Struthio camelus: one gene and its partner. The main gene of each other region encodes a partner of the protein of the gene in region 2 in a complex. Links are inferred from orthologs where the notes say so. Each region holds a gene or a part of one and is shown on either strand. Other genes may lie near its edges.

Region 1 (7,069 bases), on a different chromosome or scaffold from region 2:
TTCAACAGCAAATTCAGCCATGAAAGACCATTTATTCTTTCACTAGGGATCTGCAAAACCATCTGACCTACCAAACCGTTCAGGTTAGAAAGTTCTGGGCAAGGATATCTCATATTTATCAGAAACTATCTCCTCACAAAGGCATCATCTAAAACTTGTAAATCGCTGACTGTCACAGCACATCTGATTAAACCTGATGTGCTCACTATTTAAATGCACTTGTTCTTTTTAAAAAGTTCTGAACCTAGCTACACCTTTCTGCTTTAAGGTACATTGGCATTTGAATTGTTTCAGAGATTAACTGCCCTGTTTCAGAGATGCAAAAGCAAGGTTTCTAAGACTTAAGGGACATACTGTACTAAAGAACAATGCCAAAATGCATACACTGTCACTTTTCCACTGTTTATTCCTTTCCTTCCCATAACATTGCATACTAAATAAAGTCTAAGCTCCTGAGAGTAGGAACTAGCTTGCATATAGACAGGATGAAGTTAAGTTCGCTGCCCTACCATATTTTAAGCTTCAGGACTTGCATTATTACACCGAATTAAATTGACTGAAAGACCCTGATATACCTCTGAACACTTTGTGTAGGTTTGTGCTAGAGAAGGCTTACAGTCTTCACACAACTTTAGGAAACTAAGCTTTTCAGAAGCATTTTTCAGTCCTGAGTTTTAAGCTTCAAGACTCCCCTCTCAACAGTTTAACATATCCAGGGGAGCACTCTCCCTTCAAGGTTCTTACCTTAAATTTAAATAATATACCTAACCACTCATTTTAGAAAATCTTTCCTAGCGTTTTACTGGTTACCCTGTTTGCGGAACTGATACTGTTGCAACGATTCCTTTTTTTAAAAAAAAAAAAAAAAGGATGAGGTGAAGTTTACATGATTATTTTAAATTTTGAAACTATTTTCTCAAGAGACTTGTATTTAAGGGAAAAAAAACAACACACACAAGACACAGGAATAGAGAATCGATCCTACTTGGACTGAAAGAAGAAAAATGAAATAATCTTGCAGTATGTCAACCCTCAATTCTTCTGTAAAAAGTGACCAGTATTTTAACACCAAGAAACCAAATATTTATATTGCATCCAATAATTTAATACAAAAGCCTGCCTCATCTAAGATAGGAAACAAATTAACAAAACTGTAACTACTGATTTATACTTCTAAGAGAGGATAGACACATAATATCACTGTCTTAGAAACACAGGAATGACTTCTAGTCAGATCAACTAGGTGGTTGAAAAACAAAAAAGCATCTACCTCCAACAGGTAAAAAATGTCACTACTCCAGTCCGATTACGGCAGACACTAAGATTGTCAAACATTAGCTCAATTACTAGATATTGACTAAGGAGCATTTTTTATATTCTCTCCATTCAGTTTTAAGAACCTGACAATCTGTAAGTGGCTTTTAAGAATTCATTGCAAAGAAATCAACACTTTCCATGAGCTGTATTTAGTTTGCCAGCAGATTATCTAACTACTTTGAGCAAACAGAAAATACAGATGATTCTATATGCAATTGGCTTGTAAAGAATTGTATAAGTTGAACTTATACTAGAAAAGGTTCATATTATCTTTGTCGTAGAAGTAACTTTTCCTGGTAACAAACTGCTGATTTAAAACTCTTATTAAACTTAAGTCTATTCTGAGAAGTTTAGCCAAACTAAACTGAACACACAAGTTCACTGTCAAGTAAATTCCAAAGCTACACAGAGCCAAGTCTCTAACAGAGCAATAAAGAAAACCCTAATTCTTATTTTTAAGATAACTTTTCAGTGTTTAATGCATTCTGACCTGCAAGTAGAGGAGACCTCATTTCCATTATACCAACAGCAGGGCCACTTAAAGCACGTGGTTGTGGAGTCACTGGAGCAGGCAGATCGCCCATCAAAAATCCAGGAAGAAACTGAGCACCAGCACCTGGTTTGGGAGACGTTGGGGAGCCAAGAGTCATTGGCTCAGCTCCTATATTAACAAAAACAAAATTTAAAAACATTGAAGCAGCCAAACAATTTAGCCTATGCCAACGCCTAAGTAGTAGCTCTATAAATAAGCCGTAAACCAATTCACTGTGAGGGACTAGGATGTTTCTAACAACTTATTTTTCAAGAAAATAAGGCTTATCATAATTCTGCATTTTTAGCAACTCCACTATCCAAAAGGCAGTAAAAATAAGAAGTGCCACACTGGGACTTTCTTTTTAAAATACACCGATTTGGTTGCAAGAGACACCTGCTTCTGAAGATATCTGCTTTCTTTAAGGTGCTTTTTTTTCCTTTTTTTTTCCACTTCTGAAACAAAGCCTGTCTAGAGTCCCGCTGTCATCCTGCTTTGTGCCCCAGCTCTGGGAACACGCTCTGCCAAAGCTCTCCGGCCTCTTGCCAGCCGCCTCAGTTTCCCTGCGGCCCAGCCACCAAAGCAAAGCTCGCCGCAGCCTGCAAGTTTGCTCGGGACTGTTGTTTCGGGGTGTCACGAAGCGTTTGCGTTACGGCCGTTTAGGTCACTCCGAAGGCGCGCCTCCTTCCACAGTCCCCGGGCGTAGGCAGCCGCCCACACCCAGCTGGGCACCCCGGCCCAACAGGGCCCGGACTGCGGCTGCCGGTGCAGCAGGGGGCCGAGGGGGACCGACCGCGCCGCCCGGGGCAGAGCCAGGCCCGAGGCGAGGAAGCGGCGGCGCCGGGCCGCGGTGAGCCCCGCGGCGCCACTCGGCCGCCGGCTGTGCGCGCGGGGCGGGGCGGGGCGGGGCGGGCCGGGCCGGGGGTGGCAGCAGGCCGGCACGGGCGGCCCACGGCCCGGCTCACCTGCAAGGGGCGGCTCCACGGCGAAGGCGGCCATGGCGGCGTGAAACGGCTGCCAGCAGCTCCGCCAGGCGCTTTCAAACGGGGCGGAAGCGCCTGCGGCGTCACTTCCGGGAGGCGCGGCCGCGGCCTCTCCCCCTCGCCATCTCGCGAGCCGCCCCCCGGCGGGGGGAGGCCGCGCCGAGGGCCGACATGGCGCCACGTCACTGCCCAGGCCCCGCCCCCTCCCCCCTCCCCGCGCCCGGGGGTGGGACGTCACAGAGCGGGGCGCCCTCGCTGTCGCCCGGGGACCGGAGCCGCCGCGGCTCCGCCGAGCGCCAGCCCGCAGCCCCTGGGAAGGGCCCGCACCGACAAGGCGCAGGCCCACCGTTGTGATTACAGCTGCTGATTCCGTGCTGTTTCTGTGGGCTGAGAACTCCTGAACCTGCGGCAGATGAAGCAGAAAAGCTTTCTCACCGCAGAAAACGATGGGCTGGCGTTTCCAGGGTTCACAGAGACTGGTCCCTTCCCCTGTTGCAACGGGAAAAGGGGGACCAGACAGCAACATGGGGCGAACCTAAAACCTGCACTGATAGTTAGCATGAACAATTAATACAGAGAACTACACACGGTGTAGTCCAAACTCAATGGTACACTGCAATTCAAATTAGTGGTATGAGAAGGAGAGAACCCAGTATCAGTACTTGTGAACAAATGTTTCAAATATCTCTCATTTAACACAAAATTTAACCAAATACAGGTTTTTTTATTTTATATTAATACGTCAAACCATTTAGAGCTGGCATGAAGGCCACAGAAAACACTGATTACATTAACAAAATCTTTTACAGATTCTTTTTTTTTTTTTTTGAAGTGTCATCCTAAGATGGTTATTCCAGCCTGAGATGTGGCAGGAGGATAACAAGACAAAAAGCCAAAGTCATCTATCCTATCACAGCTGTTCTTTTTAGGTGATGCTGAACGGAGTGAGAGGAGTGGAGAACTGGATACAAAAAAACGCAGTAGCAGTAGTCTGAGAGATGTTGCTTTAAACATTTTTCATATCTTCACTGAAACAATCTACCAAAATGAAAACTGATCGCCTGGTTCCAGCATTTCAAAAACATCACGTTAGTGCACTTCAAAACACAACTTGATGGGAAACAGTAAAAAGAAATAAAGCATTAAAGCACTCCATGCCTTTTTTAATTCCATCAAAAGACCACCTGGTTTAATTTCTAAAAATATTTATCAGCTGGCTAGCCCATGAAATTCAATAAAATCTTCTTTCTTTGCAACACCAAATCAAGACCTAATAGCAAGGTACGGTATTACAGGAATATTTTATTATCTAGGTGTTACAATCAACTAGAATGGATAAAGATTTGGTTTAGTATTAAAGTAAAAACGGCAACTTTATTATCTCAGTTATCATTTTATGTTCTGTCTCTATTGCCTGCATTGTCTGATGGTTCAATAAAGCCCATCATTCTGTTTTTTCTAATATTGCAAGGAAAAGAGAACTTGATCTTTCTAACGTTGCTCTAGGAAGAGCTGGTTCTTGAGCCAAATCTTCTCTGAAGTCAGTAGAACACCATTTGGCCTCTAGATTAGATGCTGAAAACAGGAGGGGGAAACACAGAAGAAAAATGTGTAGAGAATGAATTTTAAATGCACATGTGAAAAGGAACTGCAAAATGACAGATTAAAGTACATCCAACATCTGTTATTGTATACTTATAGATTGTTTCACTTCTCCCTTTTGATCAGTCATGATCATTTATGCTTCCATTTGCCCTTTTACTGTGTTCTTGGTACTTGTGAAGCTGCTCCATGAAGCCAGGATTTGGACAAACAGCAGGCCTTGCATTTTTCACCAAAGAAAAGGCTCTAGCAAAACTGAGTCCTTCTGAATTCATTAGAAAACCAATGACTATTGCTGCTGCACGAGAGACTCCTGCATTACAGTGAACCAGTACCACGCCATCCTACAAGAAACAAATGAAACACGTTAGTTGGGATACTCATAAAATACATAGTAACAGTACTGGAAACTTAATATGAAATGTATTAATATGTATTAAAACTCCTTAAGGAGTCCAAAACAAAAACATATACACATGTAAGTAACTCCAAACAAGATAGAGAACCTCAAATTAAGTATTTGTCAAAAGCCACTTTATAACTACCAAATACTTCAGACCTAACTATACTAATGTCATAGAAATAATTACCAGATCCCATTCCTCTGTCCCTTTCCCCAAGACCTTGCAGCATGTCCCTCGCATAAAATCCAAATCAAATACATCTGGGATACTAAGATATTGGGTGCTAATTTAAAAATAGATTGTATTTGCAATACAGAGAGGAACTTGACTGTATCTTGTAACCAGATTAAAAATATAGTGATGCAGCAAGCTCTTAGGCAGAGGTAGATATGAATTAGAATATTCCATAGTTTCAGTCATGCTTCTTGTGTACTCTGGAGTTCTTCAGTGAAGATTCTGGGCAAGCACGATTATGCATAGGGAACAGAAAAATCAGCAAAGTTAAAGCATGACTTGCAACAAATCTCTACCTCCCCATCATACTGCTGATCCAATTGTATCAGTTGGTACAACTATGGTCCCTTAGGTAGGGACTAAGGTGCAAAATCCAGTACTACTGAACTTCTTTTAAATTCACAGATGTTTCTGCTGGTGGTTAAATTCAGGCTCATCTTGAATTATATACAAAATTAATACTTTTACCCTACTTAAATATTTGCTGAACAACTTTTGAAGCAATTTCATGACACTTCAAAAAGGCACTGCAAGTTTCATTAAAATATAATGGGCATGAGTTAACAATCATAAAGACAGACACTGGACAGTGTAGTGTCGGTTAGGTCACATTTGCAATGCCCAGGCTTTGTGAAGTTGTCATGTTTGCATGTTAGACTACAACCTAGCAAACTCTCTGCCAGCATCTCCACGCTCTGGATAAAGATACCGAAACACAACACAAAACGTGCTCGGATATTTGAGGCTAAACAAATATATTATAGTTACAGTCAGCTTTGCCTGCCTTTAACATGCACAAATTACTCAATGTACATTTTACCCAGAGGAAAAAAGATCTTGTAACTGGCGGGGTTCCTTTTCAGGAACTTTACGATTTAGGTACAGACCTTGGAGTACCAATCATCTGGTACACAGAGCAGAAAATGGTTCCTGCTTCAAAGATTTTTCAGTTTAAACAATAAGACAAAGACATATGAAATGAAGTATTATTCTTGTTGAATAAGTGCTAAGCTAAGACTAGAAGAATGACTTGCTCAAGTTAACACAGCAAGATTATGGCAGTGTTAGGAACTGAATCTAAACTTCTGAATCCCAGCACAATGAATCACAGTTTCACCCCTTCTCGCTTTGCAAATCACATCCCCTTTGCATTGTCTACTGGATATTATAATCTTCATTCACTTTCTCACATTCATAGGGGTGTGTTTCCTGACCACACACTGCAAGAGAGTGGAAAGCAGACATATCTCTGTATTTCAATTCATTGCAGACATGCCACTGGAAAACTCTAAATCTGTTGCCTCCTTAGTAAGAATAATATGATATTAAAAAATTACATTTATGCCACTGCTAAGGAAGCAATTGCTCAAGCTTATCCACTGTAGATCTGCAGTAGCTTTTACTGATTCAATGGGTTATTTCAGACATAACCTACTGTAACTGAGATCAATATCTAGCAGTGACGTTCAGAGTGAAAAATCAACATTTGAAAGTGATTCATTTTTTTCTTGTACAGTTCATGCTTTACTTTCCTGTTTCATATTTCTCTCAAGTTTCCTTTTATGACTGCTCTGTGGTATACTGCCAAAAATTATATAATGATATCAATGCAATAGAACTGAAAATTACTGAACACGAATGAACAAGGGCAACAACATTAAACCAAAGTTACCACTGAGCACATTTAGCCTTCCTTGCTAAACCCTGTTGCTTGCTTTTTTATACAGAGATGAATTTGGAACATCATTCTTATTAATTTTGCATTAGATATGAATACAGAATAAAAGCAAGAAATAGAGTGCAGATATTAAACTACTCTCTATTTATTAAGAAGTCTCTGCTCTGATCCTTGTAGCCCAACCTTCTCCTACCCAGAAATGGTCTATCAACTTACAAGAACCTGCAAGATTTAAGACCAAGTTTTCTTGGAATTTTTATATAGGAGAAAGTATAGTGTCCTCCCACCAAAAGGAAATAGTGATTATATAGCACAGTCA
Region 2 (7,405 bases):
TACAAATTGACTGGATTTAAGCCAAAAAGAAATCACAAAAGATGACAGGTTTCTTAATTCTATTCAGCTTGACTTTAAATGATGATTTGTTACCTGAAAAAAAAAAATAGAACTAAAAATTCCTCAAGAGGATTACAATGCTGTCTAATGAAAACACTGTAATTATTATACTCCAAATATGTCCATGTTGAACACTTTACTGTACTATCTTCAGAAAAACTTAAAGCTGACATATTCTAATGTGTGAGCAAGTGTCTATTGTGCTTCACACACTGACAGCCTTTTTGTCATCTAATTAACTCTGAGAAACAAATTAAACATTTAGGCTTTTCTAGTACTTACCAAAAAGAAGTAAAATTTCACTGGAGAGAAGGAAAGCTGCACCCACAACATTCAGAACAGCTGATAAACTAATTCAATTCCATAAGTTACAAAGAGGTTCTTTCAAACAGGAAATGAAGACGGAGCCTAGTGTTCCTCTTGCAGAGGCCTCCCTGCCCTAAGCACTCAAGCAAGCCAACCTGATGAGTTGGGCTCTGTCTCGTCTCTCCCATCCTGAACCCCCTGAGAAGCCCTAAATAACCATGAACCAGGTCCAGGTATGCTTCACTCTTCTGCTTGCACAGCAAAGTACCAGCACCAGAAACAGGGACTGCCTTTATCTTTTGGCAGTAAAGACACAAAAGCACACTGGTGAGAGACAGCAGATAACTCTCCTTTCCTTACCACAGCCAAGATCTGAGATGAGAGTAAGGATGTGCTTTTTCAACAGGATCTGAAGACAGGCCTTATAACTTCTGTCTACTAACCCGATGAGAAGAAGCTGAACTTTCCCTAGCTTCCTCCATGGCCTCCCCCCCTCTCCTTTCTTAAATGAACTTTCTGCCAGTCCAGATCAGTAGCAAGTATTTCAACTTCTACCAGAAAAGCTGTCATTACTTCTCTGACAACAGAGGACTATAGCCTGAATACTACAAGCCACTACTATCAATGTTAAAAACATAAATTTTTGGTGTGTTGGTCTGTTGTTATGCTTCGCGTGTTCTGTTAAACCAAGGATTTCTGTATAAACTATGTTTTTCTTAAGTGTTTCCTTTTGTTTCAACTTTGAGAACATTTTCCCCAGAGCCTACAATTTATTCTGAAGCTAGAAGAGAAGCTAAACATGAATAAATAAAAGGCCTGTTCTGCAGGCCTCAGGAGTTTTGTATGAATAGCAGTAATAATACCTAGCTCTTGTGCAGTACTTTGCATAAGTAGACATCAGAACATTTCACAGAGAAAGTTAGCATCATATTCCCCATTTTACAGACAGGAAAAATGGATCAAGAATTGCAGAGTCTGAAATCAAAGAGCAGGTGGTCACCCACCAATTAATCCTCCCTGCCCCCTGCAAGATTCAATCCTGTATGTTTTGTTCTGAACCTTATCTGTAGGTTGACAGGTATTCATGTAAATGACCGGTCTTTTCATGATCGCTATTAAGCGCCTGGTCTCAAAGATCTCTTGTGACAGCACAGTACATGTGCAAAATCAGTACTGCATAAAAATATTTCTTTCAAAGTTTTAAAGGCATTGACATTCACTGTCATTTGCTCTTGAACTCTGTGAAAGGGCAAACAAGAGCCTTGCCACTCTTCTCTATCCTGTTCGTTACTTAACGTAGAATCGTACAGTAAGCACTTTCAATGATTTCTTCCAATATATATTACTATGCATTTGTCAACACTGACTTTTATCTGCCATCTGACTTTGAATTCCTCCCAGAGGTCTCAAGTCCCTACTATCCTAAATAACTGGCTCAGCTGGCAGTTTTGCCATCTCATCGTTCACCCTGTTTTCCAAACACTTGGTACTTATTTTAGGCACGTGACTGACCACCCAAGCTCAGTGGGCCGCTAACTTCAGCTGTAGGGCAAACCGGCCAATCATTAAATCAAACATTTAATTTTATTTCTGAAATTCCTTAGATGAAAACCCAGACCCTCTCCTGCCCTGTGAATTTCCTGTGACCTTACCCCATGGGAACATTAGAAATTAGATCACAGAATCACATATATTATCTAAGTCACGTTTTAAATTTTCCAATTTGTAAGCCCCTGTAAGTCTTTCAAAGAAAGTGCAGACCCCTTCGAGACATAACAGAAACGGAGTCCAATAAAATATATGTGAACAAGTTCTTATTTATCCTCCTCAACAGACTTAGCTCTCCATGACCTAAACGCTGTCACATATGTCAGCACGATCAAATCCGCAGAGGAGAGAAATAGTCCTTAGTCGCACTTGGACTTTTGAGAGTTCAACCCCTTCCACCAATTGTTAACACACTCTAGTTTAGGATAGAGTTGGGCACAGACAGCACCCAGGACTCCACAACAGTGCTAACTACATATCGATTCTCAGCACGTCCAAAGGTCAAACTTTAACACAGGTGCAATTCAACATCACGAAGTTTTGCTGTTGCCTAGAATTAGGACCAAACAGCACTAGCAAGTTACTACACGTGCTGTATGACAGCTCTGCAAAGACCGAATCTGTAACATGGAGCAAATCCTTCCTAGGGGGAACTAGTAAAGAGTGTTCTTTAGGGTCAGAAATAGAGTCTTACATCCAGGACGCTCTGTAATAAAACCTTATTGTCTTGTTCACCTGTTTCACACACAAAGTCAGCCCTGCTGTTGGCACAGATGACTTGTAAGTTGGGGTGGAGGAAAGCCTGGTCACCATTCTCCTCCATGTACGTACTGAAGGGTCCAGGCTACGCATTCAAAGGCGGCTCTCCCATCCTGCACCAGAATTACCGCTCTGAAGAACCCGAGTACCATACACGGACTACCTTCCCCGCTCAGAAGCGTCTCACACCCCGTCTAGCTCGCTCATAAAGCTCCGCTCGGTAACGAGGAGGCCACCAACGCCTGCTGCCAAACGCCAGCAGAGGCGGGGGCAGCACAAGAGCGGAGCGCTGCCTCTCCTGCCGCTCACCGCCAGCAGCACGTGCCGGCCCGGCCGGGGGCCCGCCGGGAGCCGCCCGCCTACGGCCGCCGGCACCGCCCCGAGACGGCGCGGCGGCCCCCGCGCCCACAGGAGCCGCCCGGCCGCGCCGCTCCCCGCAGCAGGGGCGGCCGCGGCGCCGGCTACGGAGCCCGGGGCAGCCCCGGGGCGGCGGCCGGCGACGCCCCGCCTCAGGCGCCGCGGCCCGGCGGGCGACCCCGCCGAGCCCGCGCGGCTGCGAGGAGAGGGCGCCGGGAGCCCTGGGGGACGCTGGCGGCAGGGGGAGCCCGGCCCGGCCCGGCCCGGCCCGGCCCCGCCGCCGCGGGGAGATGGCGGCGGCCCCACACACCCGACGCGGCCCCGCGGCCCCGCGGCGCCCTCACCTGCCCGCCGCTCCGGCCGCCACCGCCGCTCCGGCCGCCCCCGCGCCGCGCCGCACGCGCCCATTGGCCGAGCCCGCCCTCTTCGCCGCGCGCCGCGCGTGCCTATTGGCCGAGCCGGCCCACTTCCCCGAGCGCCGCGCGTGCCTATTGGCCGAGCCGGCCCACTTCCCCCCGCCGCGCGCCGGCTCCCGCCCCTCTGAGGGAACAACTTTATGCAGGCGCGCCGGGGCGCACACGGACAGCGCGGGTGGGGGGAGAGGGGGGAGGAGGAGGAGGAGAGGCCTTGGGCCGTGAGTTCGAGGCTGCCCTCCGCCTTGCCCGCCGCTGCCGCCGTGTGCACGGCGCTGTACACGGGAGCCCGACGCGCCGCAGGGGAGTCACCGAGAGTGCGTGCGCCAGTTTGGTAATAAAACCTTCCGATTCCAGGGAACCTGGGGGACGCCAGCTCCCAGCACCCTCGCTGCCTCCCTCCAGAGCCCTGCCTCGCCTACGATCCCGTCTTTGAGCAAACCCCAAACCCTGGGCGCTTCTGATTGCCAAATATGCAAGAGCGGGGTTATTTTGAGCTCCCCTGGAGGTGTACGAGAATATTACTGTACTTGTTCACCACAGGGCCGCGCACGCATGAGGGGGCAAGGCGTTCGCGCAAGCTGTAGAGTCGATGTCTCTGATGACGCCAGGGTTCGTAGGGCCGGGTCTGAGGAGCAGGGAATTTCGCTGGCGCCCGTAGGGCCTGTCTGACAAACACACAACAGACTGGGAGCAGAAGAGCTGGCGAGCACGGCCCACGAGGTCCTTCTCCAGCGCCGACGTCCCCCGTCAAAGCCTCCCAGCCGCTCTCGAGGCTCCCGTCTTCCCTGAGGCTTGAGGCGGCCCGAAACGTCCGCCCCGTCCCAGACTGCCCCGAAAGGAATTTTCTAAACTGCGGAAATGCTGCTAGAGCAGGAAAGAAAGTCGGGAGCTGGCGTTTAGGCTGGCCTACGGTAGGTGCTGGCGCCGAAAGAGGCCGCGGGGGAGGCGCGGAGGGCTCCCTGCACCTCCGTGCGACGCTGAAATCCAGACTGTCCCGAGGATGTCGCCTGCACGCGAGACGATAAATGTCAGCGAGACTAAAACATGCCTCTTCTTGAAGTCCCCTGTGGGCTTGCTTTTTTTTTTTTTTTTTGGCTCACCACATCCAAGTCTTTCCAACCATCATATATCACCTCCTGCCACTTTATTTTTTCCCTGTTACAAGCTCCACTTAGGGTAAAAAAACTAAGTTTTTGTACACTTGGGCGTATAAAAACACCCAAGGCAGCTCGAAAACGTAGCTAGCTCGGCAAGGGGCAGCTGCAGCAGCACGGCGCTCGGGGCTGACCGCCTTCTTAAATATCCCCTGCTTTCCAGACAACCTTTGGGGTCTGCAGCGAACTGCTGCGTCGCTGGTGCGTAGCTGCACTGCAGGCGCTCGCTGGGGCCGCTCCATGGGCAGCCTCCGATTCTCCCACGCTTGCCCTAAGGGCCTCGAAAACTCAGGGAGCCAAGTTCCCGTTTTCCGAGCATCACGGGAGTCCTGAAATGCCGACTGCGCCCGGAGGGGGCTTTTCGGGGAGGGCAGGCTGGGGCTGAGCGCCCGGGGGCGGCGGGGACCCCTGCCCTGCGAGGGGCCGGGGCTGCGGCCGCCCCCCCAAGGGCCCAGCGGGCAGGAGCTGGCGCGGGGCAGCAAGAGGCCTCGCGTGCCCATGGTGGAGCTGAAGACCGAAGCAGCCAGGTGGCAGCAAACGCTCACAAAAATGAGCGGCTCCTGTCTGACATGGGCTCCCTGGTGCTCCCCAGTGCCGCTCCCTTCCCCTCTGGGTGCGCGGACGCAGGGGGTGCGTCACTCCAACATGGGGTGTGCGGCCCACCTGCTCAGGGTGTGCATCACACCCACATGGGGTGTGCATCCCAGCTGCTCAGGGTGTGCATCCCACTCACCTGGGTTGTGCATCCCAGCTGCATGGGGTGTGCAGGGCACCCACCCGGGGTGTGCATCACACCCACCTGGGGTGTGCATCCCAGCTGCATGGGGTGTGCAGGGCACCCACCTGGGGTGTGCATCACACCCACATGGGGTGTGCATCCCAGCTGCATGGGGTGTGCAGCGCACCCACCCGGGGTGTGCAGCGCACCCACCCGGGGTGTGCATCACACCCACATGGGGTGTGCATCCCAGCTGCATGGGGTGTGCAGCGCACCCACCCGGGGTGTGCATCGCACCCACCCGGGGTGTGCATCACACCCACATGGGGTGTGCATCCCAGCTGCATGGGGTGTGCAGGGCACCCACCTGGGGTGTGCATCACACCCACATGGGGTGTGCATCCCAGCTGCATGACGTGTGTGGCGCACCCACATGGGGTGTGCAGCGTGCCCACATGGGGTGTGCATCCCAGCTGCATGGGGTGTGCAGGGCTCCCACCTGGGGTGTGCAGGGCACCCACATGGGGTGTGCATCGCACCCACATGGGGTGTGCACCCCAGCTGCACGGGGTGTGCAGCACGCCCACATGGGGTGTGCAGGGCACCCACCTGGGGTGTGCATCCCAGCTGCTCAGGGTGTGCATCCCTCCTCGGACAGAGTGTGCGTCCCACCTGCTCGGGGTGTGCATCCCACCCCTACGGGGTGTGCATCCCCAGCAGCTCTGGGTGCGCGTCTGCCCTGCTCAGGGCTGACGGGGGCAGGCTGCCGTGCTGCAGAGACGGGGCAGCCTGGCAGGGCTCACGCGGCGCGAGGCAGCGCTCAGCACCGCACCGTTGGGTGCTGCACCCCACTGCTGGGCCACCCAGCACCAGCCTCATCTGCTCAGGAAACTACAAGCTGAAGGGTGCTTTTTTTTGAGAGGCTGAATAAACCACGCGGTCCACTTCTCACATCAAGCCTTTATTCCCATCTCCTTCCCACTACACGCAGGTGCACGGAAGCCAAGAGCAGCTACCACAGCGGTTTAAAAAATTACAAAAATAGAATTTGTACACAGCAAACATTCCTGATAGACCAGAAAGGCCCCAGCCACGTCACTGGCAGCAGCTACATTTCGGAGACGACGGCTCTTTGCAGACGCAGCCCGCGAGGCAGTTCTTGCAGCCGGCCGGGCAACAGGAGCAGCAGCCTGCAACGCAGCCGGGAGAGGAGGGTGCTCAGGGAGAGCACGGGGTGCGCCTTCGCCGCCCCGCGCCGGCACCCCACGGACGTGCTGCCAGGCAGGGCAGGGAGCTCACAGCTGCCGTATTAAAGTTTTACCCACTTGGCCTTTATAAATAAAGGCCAAGCTTCTGTCGGTGCTGCTGAGAGCCCAATCCAGCGCAAGCTAAATCTAACCCTTTGGCTCGAGCGATGCTCCAGAGCAAGCCTGAGCCTGCAGCCAGGCCGTGCCGGGGCGCCCTGCCGCACCGCGGCCCCTTGCCCCGAGACGCCATCTGTGTTTTTGGTCACCCCGTGCTGTTTGTACCCAGGGCGAAGCCCCGCATCCATCCCAGCTCCGCCGTTGTTGCGGCCCCCCCCACCTCCCTGCGAGCTCTAACAGGGTCTCCGGCGCCCCGGCGGTGGGGAGCAGCTTTCCGACAGGAAGGGCATCGCCGACCCGACCCGCCGCCCTCCCGACGGGGCCCCCGAGCGACCCGCACTCACTTTTCTGGCACGACGCGCATTTGCAGGCTTTGCACTTGCAGTTGGGTGCGCAGGTACAGGAGTCACCTGGGGACAGAGCGAGCGGCTCAGCCCGGTGCCGCAAGGTGCAGGGACAGGCACGGTGCATGTCCCCGCTCCCGGGCACCTGCACCCGCCCCACGGCTTTCTGCCTTTCCCGATCCCATATCATGTTTGGGGAGGCTGCAAAGAGCCAGCCCGGAGACGTAGGCCACGCTGCTGAACTAAAGCACCGGATATTTCCCCAAGCAGGCGGCTCTCATTTAGTTAAAGAGGGGAAATCGCATCGCCAGCCTGGTATTGGCCTCCTGGGTGGATGCGCCCAGGTTCATCCCGGGTGCGCGGTCCGGCTCGGCACCGG

The links. The genes of interacting proteins can lie anywhere in the genome.
Region 1: the proteins of NUP93 (region 2) and NUP35 are in contact, whole or in part, in a crystal structure (PDB 7MW1), measured with the Homo sapiens proteins. The link is inferred for Struthio camelus from reciprocal best matches to the Homo sapiens genes NUP93 and NUP35. Residues at the interface, in NP_055484.3 of Homo sapiens: Tyr266, Tyr269, Asn402, Ala407, Asp408, Lys409, Thr410, Glu411, Tyr413, Tyr448, His452, Phe453, Val455, Asn456, Leu461; in NP_612142.2 of Homo sapiens: Ala88, Pro89, Pro90, Val91, Arg92, Ser93, Ile94, Tyr95.

Annotation. Positions count from the first base shown.
Region 1 is NC_090947.1:17,816,777-17,823,845, forward strand, and holds the start of NUP35 (nucleoporin NUP35), read right to left. Parts: upstream 3,014-7,069; 5' UTR 2,849-3,013; coding exon 2,815-2,848; intron 1,979-2,814; coding exon 1,808-1,978; intron 1-1,807. Other genes in the region: DUSP19 (dual specificity protein phosphatase 19), read right to left, coding at 4,557-4,778. UniProt on the Homo sapiens protein: Functions as a component of the nuclear pore complex (NPC).
Region 2 is NC_090951.1:22,061,634-22,069,038, reverse strand, and holds the start of NUP93 (nuclear pore complex protein Nup93), read right to left. Parts: upstream 3,001-7,405; 5' UTR 2,738-3,000; coding exon 2,650-2,737; intron 411-2,649; exon of another isoform or gene 343-410; intron 1-342. UniProt on the Homo sapiens protein: Plays a role in the nuclear pore complex (NPC) assembly and/or maintenance. May anchor nucleoporins, but not NUP153 and TPR, to the NPC. During renal development, regulates podocyte migration and proliferation through SMAD4 signaling.